3 linked regions of the Stegostoma tigrinum genome follow. The protein of the gene in region 1 interacts with the protein of each later gene in a biochemical or structural test. Links are inferred from orthologs where the notes say so. Each region holds a gene or a part of one and is shown in the gene's direction. Other genes may lie near its edges.

Region 1 (3,749 bases):
ACTATGCTTCTGGAGGTGGTAAAAATGGCAGCTTATGGTACTTTGGGTGTGGAGGCTGGTGAGCTGGAAAGTGAGAACTGGTCTTAGAGAATCCTCACCATCACTTGGAAAGACTTTAATGAAATTGACATGAATCAGTTGAGACAAATTACTGCAGATGCTGGAACCTGTACTGAAAACAATAAATGCTAGAGATCACAGTGGGTCAGACAGCATAAGCTAACGTTTTGAGTCTAGATGACTCTTCATCAGTAGGATGTTATGAAGTTGTGTAGAGTAATCATGAATCAAAAGACAGGAAGCTAGAATTTGTTTGTAAAAATGATGGGGAAAGGAGTATGTGGCTCCTTTTAAGAGGTAAAGTGCTTTTCTAAGCTTTGAGATTTATACAGAACATGTCAGTAGCTGAAGATGGTGCAGACAGTTCTGAAATTGAAACATATCTATTGGCTGTGTGATTGGAAACCTTAGACTGGTTTTGATGTTTTGGCAAATAGCTGGAATCAGTTAACTAATTTAAACCAAGCACTTAGCGATTGAAAGAAAGTTGAATTTAAATCTGATGGTTTGGACAATCTGAGACCAATGCTATTTGAAGAAAAATTGATACTTCAACAAAAGGTATATAAGAAAAGGATATTTAAAAAAGTGAGTGAACTGCCATTTGAGAAATAAGCGTTTAGCTCTCACAAGAAATCACTAAGTTCTCAACGTAAGCACCATTTATCCATAAAAAAGGTACTACAGCATTTCCAACTAAGAGCTCTCACAGAAAAACATCCCTGACAGCCAGATCAGCGGAAGAAAGACATTTACGACTGGAGAACGACAGAAGAAAGATACTTAGACTTTGACAGAGTAAATTTTAAATTATTTTCTTATTACTTGGGTTTATATAAGTGGGACTTGTGATTTTTGGAACAGCATAGCAGTAGAATTCAGTTCAGTTAGGGAATAGTAGTGAAGGGGAATTGTGCAGTTTGGTTGTAATTCTGTTAGTTTGTTCACTGTTAGGGTTAAGTAAATAAATTATTACTTATAAAACAAATATCATGGTTTTTCTTTCATTTAGCTGCCCCTTCTCTAAGTTTACTCCCTTTTAGGTGAGGTGAGGCGAGCTTCTCGGAATGTTTCCAGTTTAATTATTCGAAAGGAACCTCGACTCCTGCCTTAACAGATTTGCAGGCTTGTGTTTCGATTTTAAATAAGAGGGGTTCGACCTCTGCTTCCTAACAAAGGGTTGACCGTTTCAAACCGCTCAGCCTCGAGAATTCTCAAAATCATCTGAATATCTTTTTCAACTCCAAGACCTGCTGAACTTTTCCAGAAACTTCTGTTTTTTTTGTTCCTGATTTACAGCATCCGTATTCTTTCGTTTCCTTTTTCCAAATCGTCTTTGTCGAACGGAGTAAACGCCATCGCCTGGGGATTAGAACGGTGAGCATTTGGAAGTATAACGGAGCTAGACCGTTTACTATGGATGTAGCGAAGACGTGACTCACCGCTGCCAGAATCAGACTCATTGTGGCTGGGCTGGCGGCGCTGCTAAGGAAGTGACGCACAAGTCGGAAGCGGCGTGAGTTTGGCGCGGTCTCTGGGCTGTGGTGGCGTCTATTCGGTTTAGAATCTTGCACCCTTTTAAACATTCGAAAGCGGTGGCCTCGAGCGCGAGCTGAACGGTTGCCGCCGCCGAGCCCCACCCACCATTGTCCACACATCATGCCCCCCAAGTCGCTGAGGAGAACGGCCGCTGGTGGCTCCGAGGAGAGCATCTCTCCGGCCAGGTAAGGACGGGGTAACAGGGCAGCAGCTGTTGCTTTCGTCGGCCGAGCTCCCACCTCAGCCAGCCGCGGCCTGGGCACTGGGAGGGTGCAAGAGGTGTGGGGAATACTTGGGTGGTTACCTGTAAAGTGGCTCTCGAGAGCAGCTAATCCCCGCCCCCACGCGACATCTTTCTGTCTCTCTTTTTCGCTGCACTTGTCGTTGCCCTGTGCTTCAGTTTTGTGGCCCTTTACCTGGCTACTAGCCTTTTCCTTCATTGTGCAAAATCCCCGGGAACTTTTAAGTCGGATCGCAGCACCGCAGTAACCTGGTGCAGAACCCCACTGCTGACTCAGTGCTAATTCTGTGAGACCGACTCTGTGCTAAATGTCCAATTTCTACTGTTGTGGCAGTTAAAAAAGGGCATAATCCTCCGTAGGTAGCATTAGGGTAATCTTCCAAAACACCGTATTTATCACATGTAGTGTTTTTGACGATAGTCATTACCCAGAGAAGCTAGCAGACGACCCTTCAAATATAGGGTAATCGGTAGTAGCTGGAATATAGTATAATGCATCATTCCTTGGCAACAGCCTTTTAATTCACAATTTACTTTAGGGGAAAGAGGACTTCGATTTATACAGAGCCTTTCTCGACAGCGCAATACCCTGATGAATTTCTTTTGAACCGTAAGATAGTGAAGGGTTTCTGACAGTCAATTCCTCACAGGCAACTCCCTTCAACAGCAGTGTGATAAAATGTTGACGAGGTGAGAAAGGCTGAACTGGCTCCCTTTCTGTTTTAGCACACTACTCTTTCACACTTAAAACATAGTTTGGTAGTTCAGCATTAAGGAGCTAATTCCAAGGTTTTCTTGAGTGAGTGAAAGAAAAAGGAATTTTGCAACTTGCTAAGTCTGACGAAAAATCAATAAAACACATTGTATTCTTACAGATTTTACATTTTAAAAGGGGACAAGTGCCAAGTACAGACAAGAAAATAATGTTTCAGATAGTAGGAACTACAGATGCTGGAGAATCTGAGATAACCAGGTGTAGAGCGGGATGAACATAGCAGGCCATGCAGCATCATAGGAGCAGGAAGGTTGATGTTTCGGGCCTAGACCCCTCTTCAGAAATTGGGTGGGGGGTGGTGGGAAGAGGGTTCTGAAATAAATAGGAAGAGAAGGGGAGGTAGATAGAAAATGTATAGAGGAGAAGATAGGTGGAGAGGAGACAGACCAGTCAAAGAGGTGGGGATGGTGCCAGTAAAAGTGTATGTTAGTTGGGAGGAGATGGAGGTGGGGCTTGAGGTGGGAGGAAGGACAGGCTGGTTTTGAGATGTGGTGGTGGTGGTGGAGCGTGGGGAGGACGGCGGAGAGATTTTGAAGAAACCACGCGGAGGCTTGGGGACCGCTTTGCAGCACACCTATGCTCGGTTCACACTAAGCAACTGCACCTCCCAGTCATGAACCATTTTCAACTCCCTGTCCCATTCCATAGATGACATGTCCACCCTGGGCCTCCTGCAGTGTCACAACGATGCTATCTGAAAGTTGCAGGAACAGCAACTCATATTCTGCTTGGGAACCCTGCAGCCCAATGGTATCAATATGGACTTCACAAGCTCCAAAATCTCCCTTCCCCATACCACATCTCAAAACCAGCCCAACTTGTACCCACCTCCCTAACCTGTCTTTCCTCCCACATATCCCCTCCTCCCACCTCAAGCCCCACCCCCATCTCCTACCTCATAACTTTATCCCGCCACCCCCTGACCTGTCTGTCCGTGCTCCTTGGTCTGACCTATCTCCTCCCTACCTATGCTCCCCTTTACAGGCTCCATCCCCACCTCTTTGACCTGTCGGTCTCCTCTCCACCTATGTTCTCCTGTATCCATCTTCTAGCCACCTCCTCCTCTCTCCCTATTTATTGCACAGCCCCCTTCCCCTCCCCCATTTCTGAAGAAGGGTCTAGGCCCAAAATGTC
Region 2 (3,749 bases), on another chromosome or scaffold:
GCTGGAGAGATTTTTAAGTTAGTAAAGCCCACTAAGACTATTGGGATGTAGGATTCCAAGGCAGAATATGAGGCACTGTTCCTCCAGTTTCTGGATGGCATCATTGTGACACTGGAGGAGCCCAGGATGGGCGTGTTGTCCAGGGAGTGGGAGGGGTAGTTGAAGTGGTTCGCGACTGGGAGGTGTTGTTTGTCGCAAACCGAATGTAGGTGCTCCACAAAGCGGTCTCTGAGCCTCTCTTGGTGTCCCTGACGTAGGGGAGGCCACAGCAGATACAACATACCATATTAACAGATGTGCAGGTAAACATCTATTTAATGTGGAAGGTTAAACTCTGTGTTTTCCTGGCTATCATTTGTTCATTAACTCAGGACAGGTGGATAAGGCTGAGAGGGCATGTGTGATATTTACCTCTGTTAGTCAAGGTATTGGAAGAGGAGAGCAAGGGAGGTTATATTGAAGCTGTATATTGTGTTAGTTAGGCCACAGCTGAAATACAGCATGCAGCTCTGGTCACTAAACTATAGGAAGGACGTGACTGCACCAGAGGGGCTGCACAGGAGATTCACCAGGATGTTCCCTGAGTTAGAATTCAGCTGTGAAGAGAGAATAAATAAGCTAGGGTTGTGACAATGTATTCAAAACAGAAATTGCTGGAAAAGCTCAGCAGGTACTTGTTTTTTTGCAGGTTTTGGGGCAACACAGTCATTAACATTGCAGCCTTACAGCACCAAGGGCCTGGGTTCAATTCCACCTGTTTGTGTGGAGTTTGCATCGTTCTCCCTGTGTCTGTGTGGGTTTCCTCCCACAGTTCAAAGATGTGCGCGGGTTTAGGTGGAACTGGCCATGGGAAATTGCCATGCTGTGGTGTTCAGGTTAGGTGGATGCTAGTGTGGACTTGTTGAGCCAAAGGGCTTGTTTGCACACTTGTAGGGATTCTACTTGAAACATAACCAAGCCAGTTAACAAAGTGTGGAGCTGGATGAACACAGCAGGCCAAGCAGCATCTCAGGAGCACAAAAAGCTGACGTTTCGGGCCTAGACCCTTCATCAGAGAGGGTTATGCCCTGAGGGAGGAGGGTAACTTCTTCAGGTTAGGCATCCCTGGAAGAGGCTTCGCAGTGAGTTTGGCCCGCTGTGTTCATCCAGCTTCACACTTTGTTATCTTGGATTCTCCAGTTCCCATTACCTCTGGCAACCAAGCAAGTGCCTCCTCCTGGATTCACTTCGATCATTCCTCCAACCCCAGAATATCCTGCTCAAGGTGACCCACGTACTCCATACAGTCGGTGAGGCTAACTTTTATAGAGACCCCCCCCCCCCCCCCCCATATAACTAATCACCGCCCTACTGCAAGACGTTGATGAAGTAGGAGGAGGGGGTGGGGGGGCGCTGGGACTCGAACCCACGCCTTCGCTCTCCTCGCCAGCCCGCTCCCAGCTTGCCGACCCAGGGGGCGATCCCGCGACGCCACACGCGCCCCGGCGGCTCTGCCGGCGCCTCTTCGCGAAGGTTTGTTTCTGCCGCCCTGCATCGCCCAGAATGCCGCGCGGCTCGCTTTGAAAAGCGGCGCGGCCGATTCAAGATGGCGGAGGTGGAGGAGCTGCCGGATGAGAGTGAGTCCGGGGCGGGGGTGGGGGAAGGAAGGAAATCCGGGAGGGGGAGGGAGACAGACTCCCCGAGGGGTCGGGACGCCCTGACAGCCAGCAGCCTCCTCGTCCAACGACCCCCCCCCCCTTCTCCTCCCCTCCATCCAGCCCACCTCCGGGAGCCCAGGTCGTGTCCCTGCCCGGCGGGTGGGGGAACGCGGAGTCTGCCTGATGAGGGCCGAGGATCCGACACTGACTGACAGGCCGGGGCCGGAGCTCGGGGCCCGGGCACCGGCGGATCCCGGGTCCGCACGGGGCGGCCTCCTCCGCCGCAGACTGCCGGGACAGGGTGCTTGGGGCGTGGGGCGGATCCGGATCACCTCACCCCACCCCCACCCCCACCCCTACCTGGAGCTGCCTGTGGATGTGGGCGGCTGTCACACTCGGACTGTTTCCCCCCCCCGTTACCTGGGGCTATCCGCCCAGGACAGGCCCTCCTCCTCCTCTGACTCTGAGTGAGGGGCTGAGTGGGGAGACGGATTCCCGGCTAGAAAAGATAAATCACAGCTGGAGAGGGGTGTGTGTCTGTGTCGCGGGGGTAGCTGTGGTGGCTGTCCGCTTTAACGCGATTCCCACTGTTCGAGGGAAAGTTGTGATACTGTTTATTTAAATTTGAAACTGGATGTAGATGCTGTGGGGTTTTTTTTGTTTGATGTGTTTTTTTTTGTATGTAATGGATTTGAAGGCCGCCTGACAAATGTGACTCTATGCTGTGATCCGTTCTGTTTTGCGAGAAGACTTGAGGTTGCAGTGTGTTTGCATCAAAGACGTTGTTGGGGGCGGGCCCCCCCTGTTTTGTCTTGGTCATTGGAGGTTTCCTGGATAGTGCTGAAAAAGTGGCGGGGTGGGTATGAGTGCTCGAAGTATATGTGAGGGGCTGAATAGCCTAAGCCTGTTGCTGTAAAAGATGTGGGATACTGTGTAGCGTATTCGATGCACTTCTGGCTGGCTCATCATCCAAAAGTCTGTAAGCAATGATTCTGATGAGATCCTGTTCCTGGGTCATCTTTACTGACCTAAACTGGCTCCAAATTACATTTCTGGAATTCTCGCTCCATGTTTGCAGATCTACTCGATGGTCTCAACCCTTAGTATCTTTGTAATTGCTTTCAGCCTCTCAATCCTCTGTAATCTGTACTCTAATTTTGGCCTTATTAGTTCTTTCCATATTCCTTCATTCTCAGGCCCTACATTCTGCAATTTCCTCACCACAAACTTCGCTTTACTCCTTTAAAACACTTCTGAGAAAAAAAACTACTTGGATCAAGCTTTTGATCACCTGCCCCAAGATTGCCTTGGTTTGGTATTAGATTTTGTTGCTTCACTCCTGCGCAACAGCTTGCAATGTTTTACAATGTTTACAGCACTCTATAGGTACAAGTTGCTGCTGAAGGTTTTTAATCTGTGGTCTGACACTGTCTTGTTTGGAGAAGTGGAGGACATAAAGTATCTTTAGAGGTTATCAAACTTCTTTATTTGCTGTTTGTTCCCTTGTGGCAAGTGCCTTAGCCATTTTTCATGTTCAAAGTGTGTAAATTTTGATGCATTTTCCAGTTGATTATTTCTGCAAGTGTGAAACAAGACTTATGTTGCTGAGTTTGGATTGAGGTCCATGTGAATATTTTTTAATGGGAGTGATGGGTTACAGGTTCATCTACTCAGTGTAGAGGAGCAGAATAGTTTTTAGTGAGAGGGGATGTTTACAGTTTATCATTTTAGATAAATTTTGCCATTAAAAACTTGCTTACTGAATGTTTTTGATCGCTGCTTTACCTATGACAGTTTTGTGAACTGTGCAAGTGCTTGCAACTCTTAACAGATTGCTTCTTCAGAATGTTTCAGCATGGTAGTGTATTTGTGAATTACCATTGTATCCCTAAAACATAGTCATAGATTTCAAGGAACTGGATGGTAGTCAGGCTTTTCCTCAAGTCAGACTTTTGACAAAACTGCGCTACTGCTTGGAAAGGAATTGCTACATCTTTGAAGAAGGAGAAATTTGAAGGGCTCTGGGGAAGACTTGGGGAGTACTGTTTATTGGCTAGCTCCTTTGAACTGATATAAGCAGGATGACCAGGATGTTGTTCTGTGCTGTATTGT
Region 3 (3,749 bases), on another chromosome or scaffold:
CATGCATGCTATATTCAGCACAAAATTCAGGGTGACATGGTGGCATGATGGTTAGCACTGCTGCCTCACAAGTGCCTGAGACCCAGGTTCAATTCCAGCCTGGGTGACTGTCTGTCTGGAGTTGGATGGTTCTCCCTGTGTCTGTGTGGGTTTCCTCCGGATGCTTTGGTTTCCTCCCACAGTCCAAAGGTGTGCAGGTTCGGTGAATTGGCCATGCTAAATTGCCTGTAGTGTCCAGGAATGCCTAGGTTAGGTGGATTAGCCAATGAAAATGCAGGATTACAGGGTTAGGGTAGTAGGTTATCTCTGGGTGGGATGCTCTTTGGAGAGTTGCTGTGGACTTGTTGGGCTGAATGTCCCGTTTCCACACGTTAGGAATTCTATCGAAAATAAATTGCAGCCTCCGTCTCTTGCAACGGCTGCATAGGTTCGGTTGCTTGTGCTGTTACTAGTGCTATCAATGAATTTGAGTCTGAGTAGCAATTAAATAGAGAGGACTTAGTAGACTTGAAAATGCCGACATTTGAGCAATGATGATGACCGGGACTAAAAACAACAAATGCTGGAGATCACAGCGGGTCAAGACAGCATCCGTGGAAAAAAAGCAACCTAACGTCGAGTTCATAGCACCTGCAGTAATTTGCTCCTATAACTACCGGGACTCTGAGATGCTTATTGAAAATCTGGGGACGTTCTGACAAAACTTGGAGTTCTGGTTACCTCAGGCATATTTAAACATGTATTGCAGAGAATTTATGCTAATTGAGTTGTAGCAGATAGTCGGGGAACAGTACAAAACTGTTAATCAAACGTTTCCTGAAAGTTCTAACAATTAGCTTAATTTCGGTTTGCCAGATTCGTTTTCTTGCAGTGATTTAAGGTTGAAATGTTTGCAGCTAATCACACAGTCCACCTCTTCACTGCAAAAGCCCTTCAGTGTATTGACTGATCGAGAGCCGTTGGGTGGGCTGGGCTGCACTGTTTAAATGGCACAGTCCTTCCCCTCCATCCGTCTCCTCGTACGATTGGTGGCATCCAAATGGACCAATCATAGCGACTCAAAGTTCGCCTCTATGTAGGGAGGAAAAAAGGAGAGAAACGATAACATTCACACAAACGGGCAATAAATGTGTCCGGTGCCCAGCAGCAGCTGCCTCCAGCTGATCGCTACATTTCCAATGATGCGGGGGTAAACCGATACAAACCGCTGACGTCAGGCAAACCCGTCGCCAGGGCAACGCATTCTAGTGGAGCGGGCTGCGCCAATCAGAGTGGGCGGAATGTGGAACGGCAGCGAATGAGCGTGCAGCGGCGGGGAGTTTAAACCTGAAGCCGGCTGGTGTTGGACTGCAGTCCGTGGCGAGTGCTCAGGCGGTTAGCAATGGCTCTTCGGATGGTTAAGGTAGCGTTTGTTATTGGCTTTTTTTAAAAGAAAAATCAACCAAACCACCTCCTCGTTTCCACCACCGTAATTACTCACTCTAAGGCGATATTTTCCAGCAGGACCAACCGGGAGTTTAACGGAATTGGTTCGCTTGTAAACTAGGCTTTTTTAAAAAAAAATGTTGGTAATGAAATTTGGAGTAAAAATAAATAGTGTTTTTTAACTTAAAAAATTCTGTTTTCATTTTCCTAGTGGAAGCGAATCCTGTAACCATGCTTAACACTGTTATGGTAGGCTTTTTAAAGTGGAAGTATTGTGTGTGGCAACTTCACTTCAGACCTGATTCTGTTAACCCGCATAACAGACCGAAGCTAAAACCAAAGACTGCTATAAGCGTTTGGTTATGTTTTAATGTCTGGGCCGAAGTAGGTGTGCAATTGTTTTGGTTTAACTCTTCTCTTGTGTAGCGGGTGAACTTAGCGATAACTTTTGGCTGGGTTGCTGCTGGGCGTGTAGGGAAGAGCGGTGGAGCTCTGCAATGACGTTCAGTGGGATTTTCCGAAGCTTCCTAAGGAAAGTCAACTTTCTGCGACTGGCATAAGTGGCTGGACCCACAGGCGGGTCCACATTCGTATAATGCTACATTCTGTAGATAAGCGATAGCCTCATGTTTCAACGCAGGGATGGAGGGGGAAAAAAATAACAGCACTTTTATTTTTTAAGGCGGGGCTCCCAGATCATGTGCTTTTGCAACGTTGCAAAGTCCTACGGGAAGGCGCCATTCAGAATCTGGCTCCAATCTCAATTTGTCATAAACCAGTCAAATACGCCCCCTCTCTATTTATTTCAGAACCCCATTCCCCTCCTCTCTTCTTCCCCCCCCCCCCCCCCCCCCCGCCATTTCTGAAGAAAGGTCTAGGCCCGAAACTTCAGCCTTCCTGCTGCTTGGCCTGCAGTGTTCATCCAGCTTTAACACCTTGTTATCTCACTTAATGTTGGGTATGGGGGGCTGGGGGGAACCCCTCTGCTGTACGTGGCTGGAGTGGTACTTCATATTTATGTAAACGCTCATTGTGTAACCGATTCCTCTAAACCCATGGTTCAGAACAGCTGTTAATTCTTTGGCTTTAACTGGGATTAGTGTTGGAGCCAGACATGTGAATTTTCCTTAACAATTGCTAGCCTTGGTTAATGACTTTACTTCCTCTTGCCAAGTTCATGATGGCTACCCTGTCTTACAAATCTATAAAGCAATCTGATATTATGTGAGTAAGAATGGATGGGGAGAAAATTGGCCAACTGCTCTACTGCAACAGATTAGGAAAGTGGAATGGAACAACAATATTCTTATGAACAAATACCTCCTGTGCTATTGCAGTACTGCAGCTGTGCCCAGTTGTTTTTGTTCATTCAGTATTAACATCCTAACGAACTACTTTGACAGACTAATCATGTTGGTAAAGACAACATTGAACCAAAAGTCCTTCCAGGAAAAATTGGAACAAAGCTTGGCTTGAGACCTAGAACTGCTTTGGTGGACATAGGCAACAAGACACTGGGAACTAAACTCCCAGTGAAAAAGGTATGTTGTGCATTGCTAGATAACCTGTACCCTTAATGGATTTAAATTCCTAGCAGCTGTATTTGGTTTTTTTTGTCCCTATTGTGGCAAATGTCTTGACTGACTAACTTGCAGAATGCTTCTCCAGTATAAAGTGCAACCTGGAGTTTGCCTGTTTTTAATTCATCTAGTGCTGGCACTCCTCTTCTGTCCTTGGTCAACTTGAACACTTCAATGTAGCTCAACACTAAACCACCCCTTTTCATTAAATAGATTTTTGTTACTTTCTGAACTCACTACAACTTCATAGCACTAACTGATCCCATGGTTTTTTGACCATATCACTGAATTTTTTTAAACCAGTTCTAACAAGGGGGCACCCCTGCCAACCTCTGGATCCAACACATCAATCTCCAACACTTCTGCCATCTGCAATTTTCCCCTCAACCTTGCCTGCTGTACAGAGGGACCACTGTCTCTGTGACTTCCTCATCTGCTCGTCACACTCCTCCAGCCCTGCTACACCTGCCCCTCTATCTTCCCTCCTCCCAGGCCCTAAGACTGCCTGCATCAAACAGATGTTCACCTGTGCATCTGCCAATGTGGCATACTGCATCCACTGTACCCATTGTGGCCACCTCTACATCAGGGAAACCAAGCAGAGGCTTGGGGACTGCTTAGCAGAATACTACACTCGGGTTGCACTAAACAACAGAACCTCCCAATCGTGAGCCATCTTGACGCTCCCTCCCATTCCTCAGATGTGTCCATCCTAGGCCTTCTGCAGTGCCACAGTGATGCCAC

The links.
Region 2: the proteins of rb1 (region 1) and lin9 form a complex in vitro, tested with the Homo sapiens proteins (2 studies listed by BioGRID). The link is inferred for Stegostoma tigrinum from reciprocal best matches to the Homo sapiens genes RB1 and LIN9.
Region 3: of the proteins of rb1 (region 1) and ccnb1, one has a biochemical effect on the other in vitro, tested with the Homo sapiens proteins (2 studies listed by BioGRID). The link is inferred for Stegostoma tigrinum from reciprocal best matches to the Homo sapiens genes RB1 and CCNB1.

The regions. Positions count from the first base shown.
Region 1 is NC_081365.1:72,797,698-72,801,446, reverse strand, and holds the start of rb1 (retinoblastoma-associated protein), read left to right. Parts: upstream 1-1,576; 5' UTR 1,577-1,719; coding exon 1,720-1,784; intron 1,785-3,749. UniProt on the Homo sapiens protein: Tumor suppressor that is a key regulator of the G1/S transition of the cell cycle. The hypophosphorylated form binds transcription regulators of the E2F family, preventing transcription of E2F-responsive genes.
Region 2 is NC_081357.1:10,408,765-10,412,513, forward strand, and holds the start of lin9 (protein lin-9 homolog), read left to right. Parts: upstream 1-1,549; 5' UTR 1,550-1,585; coding exon 1,586-1,616; intron 1,617-3,749. UniProt on the Homo sapiens protein: Acts as a tumor suppressor. Inhibits DNA synthesis. Its ability to inhibit oncogenic transformation is mediated through its association with RB1. Plays a role in the expression of genes required for the G1/S transition.
Region 3 is NC_081356.1:109,641,690-109,645,438, reverse strand, and holds the start of ccnb1 (G2/mitotic-specific cyclin-B1), read left to right. Parts: upstream 1-1,249; 5' UTR 1,250-1,381; coding exon 1,382-1,402; intron 1,403-2,828; coding exon 2,829-2,966; intron 2,967-3,749. UniProt on the Homo sapiens protein: Essential for the control of the cell cycle at the G2/M (mitosis) transition.